4 linked regions of the Tribolium castaneum genome follow. The protein of the gene in region 1 purifies or fractionates together with the protein of each later gene. This does not show direct contact. Links are inferred from orthologs where the notes say so. Each region holds a gene or a part of one and is shown in the gene's direction. Other genes may lie near its edges. The genes, in order: Oseg1, rempA, Tpr2 and Oseg6.

Region 1 (4,001 bases):
TGGGGCGAAATTTTTCGGTTCGGAAACTAAATTTATTATAGGAAAGCCATATCATGCCTGACTTCAGACCCCGCAAGATTCAATTTCGCACAAGTTAGACGGTTATTAAATTTTGAGCCGGAATTAACAGTTGATGGAAAAATTATCCTTCAGAATTAAATAGGCCATCTGTTGTCGGACAAATGGTCTTTTGTGCGCTGACTTGGAAAACGATAATGTCTTGAAATTCGAGCTTTAAAATTCGAAATGTCCAAGGGTTATAAATTCTTGACGACATAATAACACGACAGCCTGTACTGTCTAGTCAATTTATCGATTATTTGAATTTTTAAACACTGCTTGAATTAACAGCTCTTTGAACTAAACTTTCATTAATTCATGCCTAGTTGGAATTTATTCAATTACGCATCAGCTCCTTTGAAAAAATAATGTAAACTGTTTAAACAAAGCTTGTCTTGTAAATTATCTCAAACTGCCATCTAAGACAAAATTTCCGACCATTATACAGGAATGTTTATTTTATTCAAATTGTCGACTAGAGTGCTCCAATTAATTGTTTCTTTCAAAATTCCTCACCGATTCAATTTCAAATAGTCATGAATTCGATTTAAATAAAAGCCATAAATCGTGAGTTCAGTTCGTATTTTTCAAATTACTCGCTTATAATAGAAGTGTAACAAGGTTTATGTGTTGGTTTTCGAGTCGTAAATGCAAATTTTGCGGCTGCTCAACGATGTCAATGCGTCCTTTGAGGAAGGAAAAGCCTTGTTGCGAAACACATTCCGGGCTCTAATTTTCCGGAATACTATTATTATAAGCGAAGTCTTATTACGTTTTTACCCATTTCTCTGATTCAAAAATAACGAAACGAGATTTCAACGCAAACGAGGTGTTTTCACAACGACAAGAACAAGGAAAAACTAATTAACGATTTAATTAATTTACAAAAATTATGATTTTTTAATCATAGCACGGATAAAAAATGATAAAAAATATTATCTGTGCTTTGCTTTTAGTCTCAGCGATACGAACTAGTATTTGGATACTAGTCATAAGTGGTATTAATACACAAAACTCAATTTTAACAATTTTTTTTACACCACTTTCTTTTCCTCAAAATTGCGCCTGGTTGTTAGACTATTGCATAGACATATTGCATTGCTGGTTGCCCGATTTGACGGTTGGCAACAGGTGTTACCACGGTAACCCGGCTTGTTATTGTACACAAACGTCAAATACCAATTTTAATTTTCCAATATTTGCAAAAAAGTCTGAAAAAAAATGCGTTCGGTGCCAAAATGGGCCGACAAAATCCAAGACAACGAAAAAAAGGGCCAGACGTGAGTACGTTCATTTTATCAAACTTTTTGCTTGATAGCCCTTTTAGGATTTACGACTTGTGTTTTAATCCTGATGGGAGTCAGTTGATTGTGGCGACCGGTAATCATGTCCTAGTTTACGATACTAGTGACGGTAGCCTAATTCAGACCCTCAAAGGTCACAAAGATAAGGTTCATGCGGTTTCTTATGCAAAAAACGGGCTTAAATTTGCAAGTGGTAGTGCAGACAAGACTGTGATTATTTGGTCGAGTAAACTTGAAGGGTTACTGAAGTATAGTCACAGTGACTCGGTTCAGTGTATTTTATTTAACCCATTGTCCCACCAATTGGCTTCTTGTGCCCTCACTGACTTTGCGTTCTGGAGCTCGGAACAGAAAGCCGTACAAAAGCACAAAACCAATGTTAAGATAAACGCCTGTTCGTGGACTAACGACGGGCAGTATTTGGCTTTGGGGCTCAATAATGGGGTTATTTCAATCAGGAATAAACTAGGGGAGGAGAAAGGGAGGATTGAGCGGCCTAATAGCCCCGCAATTTGGGCCCTGTCTTGGAGTACGTGTAAGGAGGACCAGACCGATGTTTTGTGTGTGGCTGATTGGAATAAAACTTTGGCTTTTTACACACTTGGTGGGAAATTGGTCGGAAAGGAACGAAATATCGGTTATGAGGCCTTGAGGATTAATTATTTCCCCAAAGGGGAGTACATTTTGATCAGTGGACTTAACAAAGCTTGTGTGATGTACACTAAAGATGGGATAAGACTTGACGTCATTGGGGACCAACAAAACGCATGGGTTTGGTGTTGTGCGGCTCATCCTTCTGGTAATTTCGTTGTGATGGGGTGCCAAGATGGTACAATAGCCTACTATCAATTAATCTTCAACACTGTTCATGGTCTGTACAAGGAACGATACGCATTTCGTGAAAACATGACCGATGTTATTATACAACACTTGATAACCGAGCAAAAAGTTCGCATCAAGTGCCGAGATTTGATTAAGAAAATTGCGATTTATAAACATCGACTTGCTGTAAGTTTAAAAAAAAAACTGCGAACATTTTTCGAATTATTTTTTTAGGTCCAATTGCCCGAAAGAGTTGTAATCTATGAGTTGTATTCGAATGATGCAAATGATATGCATTATCGGGCGAAAGAGAAAATAACACAAAAATTGGACTGTAGTCTTTTGGTTGTGTGTACGGAACATTTGGTTGTTTGTCAGGAGAAGAAATTACAAAGTATGTTTTTTTCGGGACAAAATGAGAAAGAGTGGAATTTTGAGAGTCCAATTAGGTATATTAAAATCATTGGGGGGCCACCGGGCAAGGAGGGAATGATTTTGGGGCTTAAAAATGGACAGGTATGTGTAATAAAAACTGTATCTTTAACATTTTTCTAGTTTGTCTGAGATATTTTTTAAGCATAGGTATGTAAAATGTTCCGGGAAATCGATGGGTTTCAAGAAAACCGCAAAATTTGTGATAGTTTTCAAGTCATTAATAAAAATTAGTTTTATCATTTATTTGATTTGATTTAATTAGTTTTTAACAGTTTTTAGTTCAAAAAACGTGCATAATTGCTCGATAAGGGCACATTTCGTGGATTTATTGGCTTATTCTTGATGAAATTTTACGAAACGATCGTGTTTCGAACTAAAAAATTTACCGAGATGAGCAAAAATACTTTGATCTTGAACTTCTCTCTTTGAATTAATTGTTCAATAAACGAAACATTTTTTTGTACTTGTAAAAAACCAAAATTAAAATCCAAATAATTAAAAATTTGTTTTGGTATGAAAGTGTACCCCAACCAATGGGTTTTTTAGGTTTGGGAGGTACATTTAGACAACATCCACCCCCTACTCAAGGTGACAGTTAACGGTGGTATCCGTTGCCTTGACTTGAGCCAGAAAAAATCCAAATTGGCTGTAGTTGACGAAACGGGGCTTTTGCAAGTTTTTCACTCAAAAACCGGTGAATTATACTACCAAGAACCAGGAACAAACAGTGTGGCTTTCAATAATTTATACGAAGATATGGTCGCATTCAGTGGCAATAATTCACTTGCAATAAAAGTATTGGATTTTCCAGCCCATCGCCAAAAAATGATGGGTTTTGTTGTGGGTTTATCAGGAGCGAAAGTATTTTGTTTGAATGGTGCAGCAATGGTCACACTTGAATTACCATTAAGTGCTCCCATGTATCAATATATTGATAAGAAAATGTTTGATGAAGCTTACAAAGTTGCTTGTTTAGGTGATTGTTTTTTTTGGGCTTGTGATTTTATCAGAGTTAATGATTTTTATTTAGGTGTGACGGATGGTGATTGGGACGAATTGGGTCATTCGGCCTTGGAAGCACTCGAATTTGAAGTTGCAAGACTAGCATTTATTAAATTACAGGATTTTCATTATTTGGAGTTGATTCAAGACTTGCAAGTAATTTTGTGTTTTCTTGTATCGTTAAGTTTTGGTTTAAATTTGTTTCAAGGAGCAACAAAAAAAAGGTGAAACGAATCGTGATGCCATGATTGGTGATATTTATGCACATAGAGGCAGATTAAAAGAGGCAGCAAGGTTGTACCAAAAAGCTGGCCAGGAACATAAAGCTTTAACCATGTATACAGACTTGAGAATGTTTGATTTAGCACAAGTAAGCCG
Region 2 (4,055 bases), on another chromosome or scaffold:
AAAAATGAATAAAAAATCAACGCAAAGTCCAATTTAAAAAATTCTGCGCTAAATCCCAAATAATATACTACTTAAACTGTAGTAAAAATTTCGTCACAATCGACTGACGAAATATCGAGATAACTTGTCCAATTACAAGTTCAAAAAAATGGGCGTATTTTTCTTGCCATTTCTAGCAGATTCTTAAACGTGTAAATAATACATCTACTAAAAAACTAGAGATCTCAAGACGGTGTAATGCCTTTCTGTACTTTAGACGTTTTAAAAAAAAATACCTCAACTGATAGGGGGCCCTGAGCGATCAAAATAACGTCCATTGAAACACCAAACCTAAATTCTGCAAGACAGGTTTGTTTCGATTGATTTTCTTGGTGCCTCAGTACTTTGGCAGAGGCATCAATTAGGTTTAAACTAACTAACAAAAGTCTTGCATTTTTTAAAATACTGCCGTCTAGTCTCAATTCAGAGGCGGTTGCATGTGTGAGACAACCTGGCGTTTCAGACCTCAGTAACATAGCCGAGATATTGTAAACGTGCACAGCCATAAACTACAATTATCCGTTATCACGATAGTAAAAACAGTCGCTTATTACTTGTGCAAAAGTGTTGATAAAGTGGGGAATTTTCTTATCTCTGAAATCAAGCGTTTTTCTGCCGTTTCCGGCGACCGCCATAAAGTCGGAACTCTGTCCGATGTCTTTGTTAACTCGCACATCTTTCACAACCAACGTAACTAACTTTGTAAGCTCTGAATTCAAAAAACTACTCTTGATCCCGATCTCATCAATGTGCTAAAACCGAACGTAAACGAAGGCCTGAAATGGGGCGACTCACAATGTTGAAGCCGTTTTTTGATATTTGAATATCACATAATTTCAAGTAGGGCAATTTTATGCTTCCGATTTTGAGCGAAACGTTGTATTTCCGGCGAAACAGCCATGATATGATGTTCCTGAAGCCCCTAAAACACGAGTTATCACGTGACACTCTCTTCCACAACAATTACCATAAAACCACCGAAACTAGGAGGAAAAAAACCACGATAAAAACGAGGAAACCCCCCATTTTCCCCCAAAAAAACAGTTTTTTTCACAACACCCACATGACAGCTAAATATTTACGTCATCTGTCAGTTTTGAAAAGCAGTGGCGCCAAACGAACCGTACAAAAACCCCACGGCGTCCTAGCAACGCCATGTAAACAAGGAAAAAATGACACTTTATTTTGAAAATCCGGTGAGTTTTCCGGAGCCGGGCTCGATTTCCCTGAACGGGGTCTGGCACCCGAACTCGGCCCTTCTGGCCGTGGCCAGTTTTTCGCAAGATAAGGGCGGTTACGTGACGATTTTCGACGAGTTGGTAAGGTTATCGAACTTTTTTGCCCAGCTGATGAGCTTGTAGGGGGAGCCTTTGAGCGATATAAACTACCCCGTACACCGCAGTTTTCAAGTAACGGCCCTTGCCTGGCACCCCGAGCGCCATGTCCTGGCCACCGGGTGGGAAAACGGCGAGTTTAAAATCTGGAACGGGGAGAAGGACTTTGCGCTCATTGGGGGGCCGCACAAGGCCCCCATCACGCTGCTGGAGTTCAGCGAAAAGGGGGGCCGGCTTGTGTCGTGCGATTCGGTGAGTGTGCGGGTTTTGGGGGGTTTTTTATAGGGAATTTTTGTCAGGCGGGGTCGCTTGTGGGGTGGAAGGTGGTGGATACTCAGGCGCAGACTGTTATGGTTTTTCATCTGGATTTGAAGGAGTCGATTACGCATTTGACGTTCAGGATTACGATAAAGCCGCATCCGGATTTTGATGTTGAGGGGTTGGCTAAGGCGGCGGTTAATGGGGATGAAAGGGCCCTCGATCTTTTTAGGTCAGGATAAAGGTGGCTCCTTTTTTTATTTTTTTGTTTATTTTAATGAATTGTGCCGGTTTTTGACAATTTTAAAATGAACAACCAACTAAACTAATTTTTAAAAAAAAATTTTTTGTGAAAGAATTAGTTTCCAAGTTATTTTTTCAAATGTTTTGTATCCAATTTTGAGTCAAAAATCCATTCATTTTTAACAAAGAAAGCCAAAAAAGTCACGCTCAAGAGGTTTATCAAAAAAAAAACGGAGAATTTAAAAAAGTAACACAAAAACACATATTTATTAAAAAAGAAAAATATAAAAAATATGGACAATTTATTTTTAAGTATTACAATGAATATTAAAAACATAAAATGAAGGATCTCGATTGATGGTCTCTGGGAAGTCTCCAGATTACCTGAAATAAAAAAATATTAATTATGTAGTATTTTGTTATGTAAACTCTGTTTATTTTATTTTTTCGAATGTTTTTCAGCTAATTTCTTTTAGGCCAGAAACGCCCAAGAGATTTCGTCAAATAAACTAAAGAATTACTAGAAAAAAGTTAATTAAACAGACATCAGATAATAAATACCTAATTAGAAAAAATGAGAAATAAAAAAATATGGACAGTTTATTTTTAAGTATTATTCTACAATAAATATTTATATAAGCCGTCAGATTACGTTTAATTAAAAAGATTATTTTGTTAGATAAATTCCAACTAAAGTATAATACAATATAACATAATATTTTCAAATGTACTTCTGCCAATTTTGAGTCAGGAACTCATTTATTTTATTAGGAAGAGATTTTGTCCAAATAAACGGAGAATCACTAGAAAAAAAGTAGCACAAACAAAGACTGAAAAATTACAAAGAACGAAAAATAAAAAAATGTACAATTTATTTTTAAATATTTTTCCATAATAAATGTTAATATTTGTTTCCAGATTACGCCAGTTAAAAAAATATTAAAAATATGTACATTCCAACTAGCAATTTATTTTTGCAGGTCACAAATCAAAACACGTTTTATTTTATGTTTTCAAATGTATTTCAGCTAATTAACGAGTGAGGAACTCATTATTTTTTGTAGAAACAGCAAACAAATAAAAAAGGCTTGAGTTATGTTATTTCAGTGAATTGTGAGTCTTTTATCTCCCTTTTAAGCCAGAAGTGCTCAAGAATTTTGTACAAATCAACTAAAGAATTTTTAGGAAAAAAAATACGTAAATACAAATGCTTAAATAAAATGAATGAATTGATTTAAAAATATGGGCAATTTATTTTTAATTATATTAGTTAAATTTTAAAAATATTGTTTTGTTGTGTAAACCACTAAGTTATTGTTGCAGCCTGCGACTTAAATCACATTTCATTTAATTTTTTTCAATGTATTTCATCCAATTTTGAGCCAGAAACTCATTTATTTTTGTTTAAGCGGTCTTTTAAGCCATAAACGGTTACGAGATTTGGTCATTTAAACACAGACACTAAACTAGGAGTTTTCTAGTTTTGCTTTAAGCCAGGAACGCTCAAGAAACATTTTAGAACAAAAAATTAACCTAAACACAGTTACACAAATAAAAAAGACCAAAAAAAAAAAAATGTGGGCACAATTCATTAACGTAAAAATTTGAAAATTGGGGCTCACGTGCCAAAAATTTCCAGTAATTGGCGTCCGAAGACCACAGCCCGGAAATTCCGTGTTCAGGAGGGTTCTGACAACTTGTCATTTTACGTGGGGACGCAAGTGGGCTCAATTTACTACGTTAATAGCGGGGGCTCGTGCATGGAAGTCTTAAACACGGAAGGGGTGCCCCTTTCTTACATTGTGCACCATCCGAGCAAAGACGCCCTAATTGTCATGATGGAGGGTTTAACAATCGGTCATTTCTCCGTTGATAGTCAAGGCCAGTTAAACGAATTAGCTAAAGTTAAATTAAGCGGAAGGGTGCAAAGTCGCGGTGTTGGAACACAGGGCTTAGTCTGGTGTTCCAACTCCAGTTTGGCGGTTTTAACCGGTGATTTAATCGTCCGCATTTGGGACATTGAAACCAACGATAACTACGTGTTACCCACGTCGTTGAAATTCTACACAAACGACGATAAAAATCGCACAGTTAGTGAAGTTTTCACGTGCTTGGCGTTCTGCAAATTGAACCAAACTCTGTGTGCGGGCACCAACATTGGCCGCATTTATTTCTGGACCA
Region 3 (4,131 bases), on another chromosome or scaffold:
GAAAGAAAACACTTGAAATCGCAGTCAAGGATACGAAATTTGAACCGGTTTTGGATTTTTACGTCTCGCAAAACATTATGGTCTTTAGTCCGCAACCGGAAGTAAAGAAATTGCTAAAAATCACGAAAAGGTTTCCCCAGCTTGTCTTACTAGGTATTGTATAATCCAGTTTTTGTTATTTTTAATTAATTATGCCTTTAGCTGCCATATTTGAGGGCAAATTTGTGAGTAAAGACGAATTAATTGAACTGGAAAAAATACCAAACTTGCAAACAGCTCAAGCAGCTTTGGTCCAAACACTCAACAGTGCAGCCACTACAATACATCAGCAGTTGAACCAACATCAAAGCACCCTTGTTTCACAACTCGAACAAAGAATAAAACAATTAGAATAGCTCAATAAATGTATTTCATAGATCATTTCTTTTTGCTTTTTTACCCTTTTTGCCTTTCCCTTTTTTCTTCCCTTTTTTACGTGGAGCGACGTCTGGTTGTACGCGGTGTTGGGCACATAGGGAAAAATTGGGCAAACACAAGAACCTGACCAAGGGCAGGTTTCTAAGATATAGTTTACAGAAATAAACCATATTGTTCTTAATTTGTTCCAAATTAAACAATTTGATACTATGTGGTGGGAACTAAAAATAATACAGTTTTTACCCACACTTGACCCCCATCACTTACTGGTAGAGAATGACACATTTGCAGTCCTTTAAAATACTCGTACAATTTTTCAGGACCAACATCCAAAACACTGGTGAAAAATAAATGAGTTAGGTAGAACTGTGACAACAAGGCCCCAGTTTGTTCCACGGTGTAACTGGCAGACGTGCAGAATTTAGTCACAGAGTACATCAACTCCCTGAATATGATCCGGGGAAGTCCCTTGGGCTTTTTGTGCAATTTTCCCTCTGCAACGAAAACTTGGCAAATTTTAAACGATTGTAATATTACTACCAATGAAATTCCTCTTGAGTCGTTTACTCTTAATGCCCATCAAGTGGATCACTTCAGGTTTTGTTAAATAATCCCAGGTGCAAATGTGTGGTTCCGCAGTTGGCAGTTTAACTCCTTTACAGGCCAAGTACTGGTCCGTTTGTGAGTCCGAAGTGTCGCTCTGAGTACTGTCGTCCTCTTGGCGCGTTACGAAGTAGTTTTTAATGTCGATTTCGTATTTGTTGGCGTTGAAGGCGATACTGTCAAACGCATTTCCATTCATTTCGTTTCAAAATTCCCGCGTTGGTGAAAATTTATCGATTGGTCACAAATTAGCTAGTGCGCATGCCCACAGTACGAATTTTGAATTCGGTGATGAATCGGTCTTACTCGTTTCACAACTTGTGCAAGATGGCAGATTTTGGGGAAGATGTTGTTATGGACTCTGAAGATTTGATAATTCCAAAAAATCCAGCCGAGTAAGTGCTATTTTACAACAATTAGATTTATTCCTCGATTTTGAGCACTGCTTTCGTGGGGTTTCACGTCGAAATGTCGATGACACGAGTGTCACTGACTCACATTTGTTACTGCAATTTCCCACAATTAATTGCTATTGATTCGGTTATTTCAGTGAACCACTTGGTGCGATTTTAAATTTGATTTGTGCAGTCTTAACGATTTCCGTGGGTTATTTTTAATCTAAGGTCGTACACCTTTGTAATTACTGGTTCACTCCTCCACAGTTCAGTGTTTATATTTGGTCCGGCGTGCAAATTAACAATTTAACCTTTTGTTTGGACAGTTATTTTATTTATAACGTGGATTTTATGGCCTTTGCATTATTTCTCCTAACTTGTCACTGTGACACTTTCGCGGTTTTTACCAATTTGTAACGAGAAAGACCATGGAAGTTGAGGATTGCCACAATATGTGAGTGTTGTTTTTGAATTTGTTTACCTCATAAATGGGCATAAGAACTGTAAGGTTCTCACTTTTAAATTGGATTATCTTTGTTGTTTATTAACGACAAATGTAACCTACCGAAGGAATAAACATTGACCACACGAGTGTTGGTTTTTGATAAGATAAAAACAATGTGATTTATTTACAAACTCTATTTGTGACTATGATTGTGATCAAAGTTGAAGAGAACCCAATTCAAAAAACCCTAATCTGGATGTGTAACGAATTTTTATCCACTAAGGTTTTTATTTCGTCAGAATATTACGACTTTGAGGTCCATGCTATAAGTTTTAAAGGGCTGTTAAAATTTAATCCACCCTAAAATCAGAAATCTAGCAATTTTATTGGTTGTTGCTATAGTAACAACGATTTATGGCCCTTAAATTTTCACAGTTTAGCATGTTAATTGGCTAGTTTGTTCTATATTTTTGCTTAGTCACGAATGAAAATCAGATCAATTCATTGATTAAATATTTACTAAATTAGAAAAACAAAAGTTAATATTTTCTTCTAATGAAGTATCGTTTCAAATCGCATGAAATTAGGGTAATATTGGTAGGTAGGTCATTTACTGGTTCACGTGTAGATATTGTTTCTGCAATATTGTTTGTTGCTCCTTGTCTCGGAGATTAGTGAATTAGCCCAGTTAAATTAAACAAAGAAATTCTTAGAGAGTTGGATTTTTTTAAAGCATTCTTTACACTTGGGTAGAATTATATCAAAAGTTCCCGAGGGTGGGGAGTGAGCTTGAGGAGGGGGAGGGGGTTAAAGAAGTATTTTTTGTTTTTTTTTTGTCTCGGAAACGGTTACTCCTATCAACTTTTATCTTCTTACCAAAATTAAAACTGATAAAATTTCCCATTTAATTTATCTTTAAAAAATATTTTTTTCTCATGTTTCTTATGGAAATCTCCAAGTAATTATTCAATTGGTTGGATTTAAATTAATTGAAAACGAATACCGTACTATTTTTTTGGGTTCAGAAAATCGTACGATTTTGTATCTCGTTTCGTCTCCTAAGTTATAGTTCTTCGTATTTCAGCTTTAACTTTTTTCCTAATGCCTCAAGTCCTTTCTATCCTACTTAATTATTTAAGATATTTTGTATTCAGACCCCGCACTAGGTAAAATAATATTTTATTCTTTGTCTTATGGCAAACTACTACCAAACTAAAACGGACAGAAGAAAATGAGAGAAAAAGTTTACAGTAGAGTAAGCTTTTTATGTTTGTTTGGGTCGTTATTTTTAATTGTTTTTAATAGGTTGTTAACATCGTTAGTTACTCAGCCAAATTCTTATTAAATTTGATAAGTTGGTAGTTATGTGAACTTCCGTTATATCATTGTTAATATTCGTTTTTTCCCCAGTTCTTTCCTATAATTTTCTGTCTTCATAGCGTGATTCACTCCATTAAAAGGCAATTTTCACTCATTCTGGTCACACTTAAGTTGCGTTGTTCCTGTGAAAGCCGTGCTTGTTTCAGGCTTGCCGAATTGAAAAAAGAAAATGGCAATCAATTATACAAAGTCAAGCAATACCGATCTGCCCTCAATCTCTACACCGAAGCCATCGAACTATGCCCCGAAACCGCCGCCTATTACTCGAACCGCTCGGCATGTTACATGATGTTGAACAACTTTCAAGAAGCATTGGAGGATGCACGCAAATCCATAACCATCGATCCCGCATTCAGCAAAGGCTACATTCGAATATTGAAATGCGCTATAGCCCTTGGCGACCTTACAACAGCAGAAAATGCCATCAAACAGATCAATCTGCTTGACAAGAACGCCAACATCAACAATGAAACTCGTTCGTTCGAAAAACTGAGACAGTTCGAAACAGAGGCAGCAAAAGCAATGGAAAAGAAAGACTTCCGAAAAGTTGTTTACTGCATGGATAGGTGTTTGGATGAAGCGCCAACTTGCACACGTTACAAAATAATGAAAGCCGAATGTTTGGCTTTCTTGGGACGATACCAGGAGTCGCAAGAAATCGCCAACACGGCCTTGCATTTGGACAAAACAAACGCTGATGCGATTTACGTACGGGGAATGTGTCTTTATTACGAAGATAATTTGGACAGCGCCTTTAACCACTTCCAGCAAGTCTTGCGACTTGCACCCGACCACAAAAAGGCTATGGACATCTACAAGAGAGCTAAAGAACTCAAAAAGACGAAGGAAAGTGGCAATGAAGCGTATAAAAACTGCCGGTTCCAGGAAGCT
Region 4 (4,331 bases), on another chromosome or scaffold:
TGGGCCCATAGTCATACTGTTGGAACTTTCCGTCATATTTGATTTCCTGCGCGTAATGTAGGACTGTTTTGGTGGAAGATCCTGCAGGATCATGACTCAAAACAACCGGCAAGAGCTCCTCATTGAACTCCTCTTTATCAAAACCACACAAAGTGAAAATAACGTCTTCGCAAATTTCCTTATCGATTTTCAACAACTCGCAATCGTACCCCAAAAACTTCATTATTTTACTGTTGGGCAGAAATTGATTCAGACCCAAATATCGCGCCAGCCATTCGAAATCGTAAGCAAAGGGCGACAAATACCGAATTGGGGACTTCACATGCGTCATATAAGCCACCGGTGCTAGGGCTACCATCAGTTTTACGTTTTTGGCGGCTTGTGGTTTAGTTGAAGCCAAAACGAAAAACATTGTGGTCCCCATCGAGTGCCCCACGTAGATTATTTCGCCCGGTTTGTTTGTTGTGTTACTGACGTAGTAGAGTGCAGCTGGGAGATCATAAACTCCCATCTCGTGCCAGCTAAAGTTCCAATATTGGGGGCTTTCGATCGGTAGAGTAACATGAGCTTTGGAGTAAGTGTTACCTCGAGCGTTACCCATCCAGACGTCATACCCGGCATCGGCCAATATAAAACCTTATGAAACCGTAACTCTTGGATCAAAAATCTGAAAGTACGAACCTAGGGAGTTATTCCCTGCCGTTATCCAATCGGCGCTACTCGAAAGCAGCCCGTGTTGGAGAAAGACAGGTTGGCCCCCACGTTGGCCGCTCTTAGGCCCTGGGATGCGATGAATTGTGAGGATGTAGCCGTCTTCCGTTGTGACGTAGTGAGATTCGGCCGGATAGCCATGTCTTCGGGCGATTTGGGGCTGCGGGCGTTTTAATTGGTGTTAAATGACGGGATTACTACTTACTGTATCTAAATCGGCGTCCGGATTGTAAGGACAAGCCGAGAGGTTTTCAAACGAACATTTGACACTGTTTGTAACGTTTTCACAACGAAAAATTGGTAAAAATAGGACGAGGAGTAAAAATCGATGCATCGCAAAGACGATGACAATTAACCTAAACTTTGGACGCAACAGAACCAGTTTTACGGTTCAAGTCTGCCAAACTGAATAGCTAATGAGTTTTTTCAATGGTTTAAAATAATTCTGCATTTAAAAACGATAGCCCCACGTGAGTCATGCAGAAGTGTAATTTCATTGGTTTTTACTCACCAAGGCCGCTCTATCACTGACGTGAGGTCCAAAGTCGGGAAAATCACTCTATTTGTTGTGATTAGCTAATTTTCGTTAAACCTTTATCTATTTTTAAACAAACTAAAAACACAATTGTGACTTGGTTTGAATTTTGCGCCGCCATTTTTGTTTGGTGATTTCACGGTAACTTGATGCATTTACTTCAAAGCAAAATGCAACTTAAATCATACAGTAAGAGAGACTTAAATTAATGCAGTTAAATTACAATTACATATAATTATCTTGTGCACGTCGATGGATCGTTTCAGTTTCACTGGAATAATCTCAAAAATTGAGTTTTTGTCAAATTAAAAAACCAGATTTTGAATCCTCATGTTGGCGATATGGGTGTTTGGCGTCTGTCGAATGTCAAAATGCTTTTTCATCAATAACAACAATGTTTGTATCGTGTTTTAAACATTAAACGCATTGATTATTCAAAAAATGGGAAGCGAAAAGGTATTTCCACCCCTTTTCCCTAAAGCAACTCCTGCATGTTGCAATTTTTCCCGGTCGTTTATAACCTATACAAACAACCCCTTTCTAGCTCTTGTTCCGCTTGGAACAGCCCCATGGCACCGGTGATATTTACACGACATGGCAAAATGGCTCTGGCATGTATCTTGCAACGACTGGGATCGACTGTATGGTCAATATTTTCGACCGTTATGGACAAATCCAGGACCGTATCCGCTTGCCCAGGTGCCCCATTCCTTTCAATTTTCCATTTAATTAAACCCAAAATTGCAGTCTGTGCACCGGTTTTGGGTGGGACTCGGACGGTGATCTCTTGGCGGTAATTTGCCAATCACCTCAACTCACACTGTGGGATGCAAACACCCAGAAAAAGATTCAAATTGATGTGAGATTGAAGGACCAAATGTCGTGCGTGATTTGGGCCAAGACCGCCCCCATGCTGGCCGTGGGGACGGTCAAAGGAAACATATCTATTTATAATCACAACACATCAAAGTTAGTTGTTTTTTTGTTGTTTGTTTTTTTAATTGTCGGTTCTAGACGCACTCCTGTTATTGGCAAGCACGCGAAAAAAATCACGTGTGGGGCTTGGAACACGGAGAATTTGCTCGCACTAGGGTCTGAGGATAAAACAATTTCTATCAGTAATGTAGACGGGGATACGCTCAGAGTGATCAATTTGCGGGCAGAGCCGTCTGAAATAAATTTTTCGGAAATGAAGCTCGACGAGCGCATGGGGGGCGAAAACACTGTAATTTTTTCAAGTTTCCGCTGATTATTTCGCGTTAATTGTTAATTCCAGGTCAGCGTAATTGTGGGAAAGCGCACTCTCTATCTTTACAATTTGTTAGACCCTGACAATCCCATTGAATTAGCATTTCAGCAGCATTATGGCTCTATTGTTACGTATAAGTGGTTCGGAGATGGTTATATTTTAATCGGCTTCAACGCCGGTTATTTTATTGCCATCTCCACCCACATTAAGGAAGTGGGCCAGGAGTTATTCCAGGTCCGGAATCACAAAAACACCCTCACTGATATTACAATAAACGACAAAATCGGAAAAGCCGCATCTTGTGGCGATAACAAGTATTAATCCAACATGGCAGGTCAGGTCACTACTTTATGATTTTTTAGTGTTAAAATACACGACTTGAGCAACCTCCAAGAAACCTCAAGTGTCTTAACTTTGTCACAGGAGGCCGGTTTAGAGAGGATAAGTTGGAGTGTTGACGGTCAGTTGTTTTCAGTGTGTACACGTGGTGGTTCTTTGAACGTCTATTTGTCACACGTGCCGTTACTAACTTCAGTCTCAACGCCTAGAATAGCGATTCTGTCAAGTCTGACTGAAATCAGTCTTTACAACTATTCCTCAGAAAAAGTAGTCACGTTAAAAAGTGAAACTAGTAAAATAAATAGCTTGTTTTAGACCAAATACAAACCGATTCCTATAACACTCGAAACGGAGCCTAGTTTTATCGCCGTGGGCCCGTATCACATAGCCGCCGGTTTAAATAACCGGGTTTGGTTCTATGATTTAACGCGCCCCCAGCCGGGAGTGGATGACGCCCCCTTAATGCTCAAAGACCGACAGTACTTAGGGGGCGTCACTAGCATCAAACTCAATCCTGAATATGCTTCTGTTTTATTTGAAGGAAAATTACAACTACACATGGTGATAAGTTTGTGTAGTTTTTTCCTTTGTTAATTTTTTACTACAGATTGAACAACCGGAGGTTTGCCATGAGGATCGCGAAACTATAATGTTTCCGAACGCAAATTCACCAAATTTATTCATAACTTGCCATTTTTTAACAACCGATTTTTTAATTTACGGCACCGATATGGGAAATATTGTTTATTTCCACGTCGAAGAGTGGGCTTTGGCCCACGAATATAAGCATGAAGTTGGCATCGTGAACGTTTTCGCCGACCCTGCCGGCACTAGATTAGTTTTTGTTGATATTAAAGGCCAAGGTTACGTCTACAATGCTGTAAGTAATTGTTACGGCACTAAACATAATTTGGAAACAAACAAACACAATCTGGGGCCCGTTGAATAATCTATTTGTTCTTTGAGGTGATAAATGAAGTTGTACTCATACCAAACCTACCAAATAAAGTATTAGGAGTCACGTGGGATAGCAATATAAACGATCGCAACATTTTCATAGTGTACGACCAACACGATATTTTCACCTATGTCTACGTCCGATACTCAATTAATGGTTGGTAATTTAGGTGTGAAAATGTAAAAACACCCAATTTTAGGTTCCTCGGTCCAAAAAGTGGGCCAAACCTCGCTTGTAACCAAACAAATCCCTCTATTAATGTACTCGGGTGAAGTAATATCAGCCACACCTGGCGGTCAGATAACTCAACTAATTTTAAACACCCATGACTCGCCTCAAATCGGCGTTAACGAACATGACCAAACGATCCAAGAAACCAATTTTAACAAACAGATCGCATTGTATAGGTAACCACCCAGTCGTGTTCTATTTGTTAATAACTTTATATAGATTTTCGGCCGCTTGGACCACTTGCGAGACGCTCAAGTCGGAGGAATTGTGGCGAAAACTCGCAGTTGAAGCGATGAAACACTTGGAAA

The links.
Region 2: the proteins of Oseg1 (region 1) and rempA purify together in Homo sapiens (affinity purification with mass spectrometry; 4 studies listed by BioGRID and IntAct, counting the BioPlex papers as one, with this or other methods). This does not show direct contact. The link is inferred for Tribolium castaneum from reciprocal best matches to the Homo sapiens genes IFT122 and IFT140.
Region 3: the proteins of Oseg1 (region 1) and Tpr2 purify together in Homo sapiens (co-immunoprecipitation; 3 studies listed by BioGRID and IntAct, counting the BioPlex papers as one, with this or other methods). This does not show direct contact. The link is inferred for Tribolium castaneum from reciprocal best matches to the Homo sapiens genes IFT122 and DNAJC7.
Region 4: the proteins of Oseg1 (region 1) and Oseg6 purify together in Homo sapiens (affinity purification with mass spectrometry; 4 studies listed by BioGRID and IntAct, counting the BioPlex papers as one, with this or other methods). This does not show direct contact. The link is inferred for Tribolium castaneum from reciprocal best matches to the Homo sapiens genes IFT122 and WDR19.

What each region holds. Positions count from the first base shown.
Region 1 is NC_087394.1:36,927,823-36,931,823, reverse strand, and holds the start of Oseg1 (intraflagellar transport protein 122 homolog), read left to right. Parts: upstream 1-1,181; 5' UTR 1,182-1,281; coding exon 1,282-1,340; intron 1,341-1,387; coding exon 1,388-2,372; intron 2,373-2,420; coding exon 2,421-2,702; intron 2,703-3,167; coding exon 3,168-3,597; intron 3,598-3,651; coding exon 3,652-3,779; intron 3,780-3,831; coding exon 3,832-3,993; intron 3,994-4,001. UniProt on the Homo sapiens protein: As a component of the IFT complex A (IFT-A), a complex required for retrograde ciliary transport and entry into cilia of G protein-coupled receptors (GPCRs), it is required in ciliogenesis and ciliary protein trafficking.
Region 2 is NC_087399.1:1,792,259-1,796,313, reverse strand, and holds the start of rempA (intraflagellar transport protein 140 homolog), read left to right. Parts: upstream 1-1,211; coding exon 1,212-1,358; intron 1,359-1,400; coding exon 1,401-1,625; intron 1,626-1,672; coding exon 1,673-1,863; exon of another isoform or gene 1,864-1,875; intron 1,876-3,513; coding exon 3,514-4,055. Other genes in the region: hob (protein hobbit), read right to left, coding at 276-548, 594-791, 835-961, 1,007-1,065. UniProt on the Homo sapiens protein: Component of the IFT complex A (IFT-A), a complex required for retrograde ciliary transport and entry into cilia of G protein-coupled receptors (GPCRs).
Region 3 is NC_087398.1:7,331,294-7,335,424, reverse strand, and holds the start of Tpr2 (dnaJ homolog subfamily C member 7), read left to right. Parts: upstream 1-1,281; coding exon 1,282-1,415; intron 1,416-1,731; exon of another isoform or gene 1,732-1,843; coding exon of another isoform or gene 1,844-1,869; intron 1,870-3,386; coding exon 3,387-4,131. Other genes in the region: mRpL10 (large ribosomal subunit protein uL10m), read left to right, coding at 1-153, 202-395; uncharacterized protein LOC103313090, read right to left, coding at 411-638, 685-911, 958-1,219. UniProt on the Homo sapiens protein: Acts as a co-chaperone regulating the molecular chaperones HSP70 and HSP90 in folding of steroid receptors, such as the glucocorticoid receptor and the progesterone receptor.
Region 4 is NC_087402.1:3,493,251-3,497,581, reverse strand, and holds the start of Oseg6 (WD repeat-containing protein 19), read left to right. Parts: upstream 1-1,492; 5' UTR 1,493-1,687; coding exon 1,688-1,702; intron 1,703-1,790; coding exon 1,791-1,945; intron 1,946-1,993; coding exon 1,994-2,471; intron 2,472-2,522; coding exon 2,523-2,809; intron 2,810-2,857; coding exon 2,858-3,101; intron 3,102-3,149; coding exon 3,150-3,395; intron 3,396-3,441; coding exon 3,442-3,714; intron 3,715-3,800; coding exon 3,801-3,948; intron 3,949-3,991; coding exon 3,992-4,199; intron 4,200-4,242; coding exon 4,243-4,331. Other genes in the region: lipase 3, read right to left, coding at 1-636, 682-871, 917-1,045. UniProt on the Homo sapiens protein: As component of the IFT complex A (IFT-A), a complex required for retrograde ciliary transport and entry into cilia of G protein-coupled receptors (GPCRs), it is involved in cilia function and/or assembly.